2 linked regions of the Coturnix japonica genome follow. The protein of the gene in region 2 purifies or fractionates together with the protein of the main gene of each other region. This does not show direct contact. Links are inferred from orthologs where the notes say so. Each region holds a gene or a part of one and is shown on either strand. Other genes may lie near its edges. The genes, in order: SACM1L and COPE.

Region 1 (3,822 bases), on a different chromosome or scaffold from region 2:
CCTATGGATCTCATCAGTGCTCTGTAATCTTTCCATGGCTGCTTCCTTAGAGTGCACAGTGACAGTATCTACACTTCTGTAATGACACCATTAGCCTGAGACAACACTAGTTACTCATTTTAAGTTGTGGCTACTATATTTTCTCCCGAAAGCACATAAGAGAAGAAATGCATCTCCTTTCACCTGTGTCACTACCATGACCCTTGAATTCCCTCATTTGTTCTGTTTGTTCCATCTTCAGCCTCACCTGTGCATAAAATCTAAGGGGCAATGGCTACATAAAGGTTACTTCAAATGAACAAAACATCAACAAGTCAGCTGTTTAATAAAGGCCTTGAAAGCACTGATCACTCTGTTTCAGAGGCAACGCTGAGTTTTTAAGCTCACGAAAGTATAATTTGACTTCACGTGTACCTGACCATTCCATTTGCCATGCTAGTCACCATTTTTGCAAACGTCTGCTCCAGAGGCAGCTCAGAACCCTTTTGGTTAACCTGGAAAAAAGGGAAATAGAAAAAAAAATGAGAGCATTATTTATAAGCCTGCTTGAAAGAAGAGCAGCTTTCTCAAGAAGAACAAGGGAAAGCATACCAAGTTAACAATCATCTGCTTTCCATAGCTGATTATTTGAGAGTCAAAGTGTCTTTGGAAGCCATCCATCTAGAAAAGAAAGGAAATGCAATGACAGATTTAAGATCTGATTTACAAGAAACCCCTACAACCACTTTCCAATGATACTGCACACACAGTTTTATAGCACAGTGCTTGTTGTTCTCTACTGTGTTAACACACTTTTACTTTCAGTCCCCCACCCACACCCCCCCTTACCAGCTCTCCTTAAACAAGCTACAAGTATTTTCCAACTACAAAAACAAGAACCAAAGAGCAAACACTGCCCTCATTCAAACCAGGTGTTCTTTTGTCAGGTACTGAACTTCTTCCACAGAACACACGACTTCTCACTGCTACTCAATAATCCTCCATCTAATATTGCTGACTTTCACTCTTCTGATTACAGCCTGTCACACCACCCACCTACACAAGCCCAGAAATGCATTAAAGCCCCAAGACAAACACTCACATACATGATTTACTGACTTGCTGATCTGAGGCTTTGGTTTATATTTGAGGTTTGGTCTCTGAGACCAGAAAAAAGGAATTGATCCACGGGTCTGAAAAGAGAATGTAACAGTTTTAAACAACAAAACTTACTTGAGTTCGTAAAACAGAATGGTTTAGTTAACATATTTTTCAAATACAGACAGATTTATTAACACATGCCTTAAGCTAATCAGCAGTTTATTACACTGGCCTTACCTGAACAAATGATGCTTTGCTCCCCTTGTAATGCACAATTTGCTCTGTTTCAACAAAGTTAGCTGCGTGTCCTTCTGAATCAATACCTGGGTAGGATAGAGGCCTCGTTAAGAGCTCAGAGCACACCAGGACAGCAACAAGGTATGAAAAGGGTTTCTACCCTCAAAGCAAGTATGAAAACAGCAAACCTGCCTCAGGATGGCAAATTAAAAATGCCTCTGGCAGACCTTTAATATGATCTGTATCAAGTGTAGTTACTGAAGAGCCACAATTGTGCTCATCACATTTTGTGAATTATAGTCCTGATTACAGTCCTAGAAACTGAGTAGCTGAATAGGAAATAAAGCAACTGCTTGACACTAATAACTACAATTCAATAGCAAAGGTACTGCAGAAACTGACTTATTCCTTCAAAAGCATGCATTATTGAGACACACAAAACAAGCAGTGCTTCAAAGCTATTTCCCTTTCTAGTTTTTCACCTTTAATAATTAGAGAACATCACCGCTCAGGGCTGCTCTGGCAGCACCAGTGATGCTCTGTTTACTGCTAGGCCAGAAGGGCTGTGCTTGCATTTAACTCCAATCTAAGTGGGAAAGCAGTAGAGCTCCCTTACAGAACATGTACAGTAATCTCCATTTGCTATTTTACCTCTTACATAGTAGCGTACACCAGCTCTGAAACAGCTTCTTCTGGAAACAAGCAGCCAGTCAAAACACTTGCCATTAATAGAACAGGAATGCATAGAGATAACTGATGAATAACAATAAGGAAAAGAAAGCCAAACATTTCTTACATATCAGCAAACAGCCAAAGTGAAGGAACCAGAAGATAACACCCAAAGATGTATTTCAGGACTATAACAAATGTGGACCTGCTTTCAAATCCCCCACACACACTCACACAAATGAGAATGCACACCAAGCCTTCAGCAGGAACTTGAGTGATGTCTTCATTACCCAGGTAAGTCTACTATTTCTTCACACTGCAAGATTGGAACCCCACTCAAGATGCTGAACAAAATATATGTAGGTTTATATAGAAGAAGATCTGAGATTAATTAATTAGCTTGTAGTGAGACTATCACGGTTCTGCTTCAGGTTTCTCCTACCATTTTAATCACACACATGTTTCTTTGAATTCTTGGGCTCTTTAACACATTTGGTTAATGTCAGAATTACAGCACCGTGTATAACTTGTGCTAATTATTTATGTAATGAAAATAGGACAGAGGAAGGTTAACTGCAGAATGCCAATTGCTAATGGCAATCTATCCAGATTCTTCCACCCAGCCCCTGGCAGAGGCAGGATATGGGCTGCGCTGTTTTGACAGTTCCCTTTCACTATCTTTCCTTGACTCTCCACCTACTCCCACAACATTTTCCATTCAATGAAGTCACAGGAAAGAAGGACTGGAGATGTGCCAGCTGCTAACAGTCCTACCAGAACTACTGATACTGCCTGGAAGCCATTCCCCGCACACATCAGAGCAACCCTGCCAACAGAATGCTGCATAAGTTACTCTGTCAAGTCCTGGCAGTTCAAGAAGGAGTGGGTAAGTCAGAACCTGGGACCTGTTGATCACACACTGCTACCAGAGAGCGTTAAACTTGCTTACAAGGTTAAATTTTCTCCTTTTCTCAAAAGAAAACAAAACATCCCACTCAAAACCTTCAAGACTGATTTATTTGCTAGAAAGGTACTGGTGCAGGAAAAGCAGCCAGCTAGGAAGAGAGATCCAAGAGCCTTTTTATTCAACAACAGGAAGATTCACAAGTATTCCTCCAAATCAAAGCTAGTCTACCTTATTTTAAACTCAAAGGAAAACCTGCAAACTGCAGGTTTTCTTATACCAAAGTAAGAAGTGCTAAGGTTGACGTAAGAGTTTGCTACATTCACCCTAACCTTTACTTCCTTGAAAAGCAGTTATGCAAATCATGCCTGTAAAATCAATTACATGAAGCCTTCGAAGTAGAATATTTATACAAGTTAACATGTCAGTGGGCTACCAAATACATAGCATTCATATCTGAGCAAAACACCACTTAATTCTGACATTGTATTCTATGTTACATTACCAATGTAGCAACCCATGCAACAGTCATTTTTGCCACAGACTGCCAAATTCAGTACCGATCTTTACAGCAGGAAAGGATACATCCATGCATCACTGGCGTAGCAAACCTATGGATCTGAAACAGACAAGAAAGCCACACAATGCATTTAGAATTATTAAAAAACAGCAGACAAAAAATGGTAACTAATAATGGTTTCTCTGGAGGCTTTTAAGCGTAGTTTTATATGCTTGGAATTTGCTGCTTTTTGTTTTGGATGCAGTAATTCCTTCAGACATTCCTTCTGTTTTCACCAACCAGCCACTTGGCTTTCTTTGCTCTTCCCACCACAGGTTCTCTGATTTCCCCAGCTCTGTTTGCATAGCACCATCTAAAGCATCTACTCAGTCATATATCTTTGGAATATGCATAATAGCCTTTTGCTACTACC
Region 2 (2,889 bases):
ACACAACCAACCAACACAAAGAGCAGCCTGAAATGCTGCACGGGAGTCCAAGGCATCATCACACGGTGCTCTATTATGTTCCATTACACGTCAGGTGCAACGACCATCACGTTTCTCAGGAATGACTGGGGATAAATAGACTTCTGCATGTATTGCAGGATGTACTTTGTTAAGAGAAAGCTCTAATGCTTTCCTGGCTCCAGGACACGAGATGTTGCATTTATCAACTTAAGATCAGGGCTGAGCCTGTTACAATTGGATTATTTCTATTCTGGGGAAGCTTTCCCTCTCCCCAGCAGTAACCCCTACAGCTGTGCATCCTTCTTCCGGAGGACGTTAACCTAAATGGAGTCATTATCAGACTGAAAGAACAGCCAGGACTCAGGATTCATCCACCAACCCAAGTCTGATACTTGAAGTGAACCTTCACACTCTGCCCCCATAGGTATAACATCCTCAGTACATGACATGGCTCAGAACAGAATCACTTCTGTTTACTAATTTACATTTCAGAATGTAAATTAAGGGGCACACAGATCCAGAAAAGGCTTTATTAGGAATGTTTAAGGTACAGTGTTGCAAACTTGATTCGTATTTTAAACAGTTGAAACCCCAAGAAAGCCACAACACAGGCTTTTTAGCTACCAAGTTCAAGTAGCTACACGTTATATACAGACTTAGCAACGCTCTCCTGCATTGCAAGACCCTGCCACAGTGAGTTACACCAGACCCAACTTGCAAAGGCCATTTTTCCATGTGACCAGAAAGGATCTGAATAACAACCCCACTTCCCAGGTACCATAGAGCAGCTCTGTTCCCCTCTCCTCAGGCGCTGGGGGCATATTGCATGGCCAGTCGGTCAAAGTCATTCTCCTTCAAACCAGAAACAAAAATATAATGAACTAATTTCAAACATTACTGAAAAATGTCATAAAACTTGCAGTAACTCTCAGCTATAGAGTTCTATCAACCAGGGCAAAATGAATTCTAAAAAGCAAACTGTCCACATCAGTTCTCTATGATTTCATTCTCCCTTCCCTGTTATCTTCCTCTGCCCATCCCCTCCATTCTTTCTCATCCAGAAGATTTTCTCTATTTAAGCAGTGTCTCAACCTAACAAACAAGTCTGTAATCTGGGTTAGATGGACCTCAAAGCATTTCTTTCCAGATGCCACCAAATTCAGGGTATACTTCATCTATATATGTCGTATAGATACTCAATCTGGATGTTGATCATTTCCCAATGCATCTCACAAGGGCTAGAAACATTGCTGGCAGTGGTTAGATGCTGGAGAAGGAACATGGGCCGACCCTTTCAGAACCATAGACATGCTTACTAGTAACAAATCCCTCTGCCCCATCCTCTTGTTGCTGTAAGTCATTATAAACTCAGTTTCATATCGCAAAATAACAAGTACCTTTGCCTGATACTCCTTTATGAACGGATGGTTTTTATGTGCATCCTTCAACTGTGACAAATAACGATTTGTAACCTGATGGGATGAAAAAGGGAGATTTAAATACTGAAATAACACCAAGAAAAGCCAAAAAAGTTTAAACCGATACTTCTATGACTTCGTTCTCAATGAGCTAAGAGCTGATTTCTTCAGCACCCTCAATGTTAGCAGCCCCATTTAAATCAGTAAGACCTTCAATAGCAGATTCAACAAAAGGAGAAAATCAAGCTCAGAACTTGGGAGATCTCTTTCTCCACCCCAGGTTTTCCTCTGAAGTACATACCCCTGTCTACAGACAGACTTTATTGAATACTGAATACCACCCCGCACCCCAAAACTCCAAATCTATTTTATTTTCTTAACACCAATCCCAGTGAGAACACAAGACTGCAAAACCCAAACGTTATCAGGCACAGTAGGAACACACAACCTGCCCCCAGGCAGAGCAGCCTGATCTGCTTCTTGAGTACCATAAAATAAGCCTCACCTCTGGTGGTTTGCCCAGGTGTTGTGACAGGACAACAAAGTTGATCAAGGTCTCAGGATGGCCACTATCCTGGAAAGAAAAACAATCACCTGTCTTTGTGACTTATCCCTAACACAATAAGTGTAACACCTGGCACTGCTGTGCAAGAACAACTGACGAGCCCGTAGCTCACTTTAATAGAACAGGTAGAGTAGAAGGCAGATGTTAATAGCAACCACTCTTAGGGACATTTTCATAAAGCATAATGAAATTCCTTGCTGTTATAGCCTCTATGCGTAAGAGATAGTTAGATTCAAGCCAATTTGCCAGGCAAAACCATTAAGTACCTTGTCCAGTGCCTCTTGAAGTACCCCCTCTGCATCATCCCACTTGCCCTGAGCCATATAGCAGGCTGCCTGCCCATTAAGCAGGAGGAGGGTGGAGGAGCATTTGTCTGCCATCTCTTGGAAGATGTAATAGGCGTCCTGTAACTTCTCACCACCCTGCAAAAGGACACAAGCATGCAGTTTCACTGTGTATTGCTAAGAAGGCTGTATTCTGTTTTTGTGGCTAAAGAAAGGGGCCAAGAAGTTAATTTGAAGGGTTATAAAATGAGCTATTGTCATTCACAGAGTCTCCTCTGAGAGATCACTGTAAGACTACAGATGAAAGGAATGCAAAAATATTAAATATTAAGAAGCACTTAAATGATCAAAAGATCAAGAAACATTTCAAAAGAACCACTTCAGAACACCGACTTAATGTTTGGAAGAACATTACAACGTAATAAAAGACTATGAAATGAGATCTTACAATTAAACCCAGGTACAGACACCTGGCTTTTCAAAACATTCCTGCTTTAGAAAGGTTTCAGATGCAGCAGCTTGCACTGATTAGAGGATGAATGTTTCCCTAGAGGAAAATAAGATCTTAAGGAAAACTCAGCCCCAGGTTACTGTTACTGTT

The links.
Region 1: the proteins of COPE (region 2) and SACM1L purify together in Homo sapiens (affinity purification with mass spectrometry; 4 studies listed by BioGRID and IntAct, with this or other methods). This does not show direct contact. The link is inferred for Coturnix japonica from reciprocal best matches to the Homo sapiens genes COPE and SACM1L.

Annotation. Positions count from the first base shown.
Region 1 is NC_029517.1:39,390,862-39,394,683, forward strand, and holds part of SACM1L (phosphatidylinositide phosphatase SAC1), read right to left. Parts: intron 3,510-3,822; coding exon 3,476-3,509; intron 2,071-3,475; coding exon 1,969-2,070; intron 1,404-1,968; coding exon 1,318-1,403; intron 1,173-1,317; coding exon 1,086-1,172; intron 661-1,085; coding exon 592-660; intron 495-591; coding exon 415-494; intron 1-414.
Region 2 is NC_029543.1:2,778,289-2,781,177, reverse strand, and holds the end of COPE (coatomer subunit epsilon), read right to left. Parts: intron 2,427-2,889; coding exon 2,271-2,426; intron 2,014-2,270; coding exon 1,945-2,013; intron 1,494-1,944; coding exon 1,419-1,493; intron 874-1,418; coding exon 826-873; 3' UTR 522-825; downstream 1-521. UniProt on the Homo sapiens protein: The coatomer is a cytosolic protein complex that binds to dilysine motifs and reversibly associates with Golgi non-clathrin-coated vesicles, which further mediate biosynthetic protein transport from the ER, via the Golgi up to the trans Golgi network.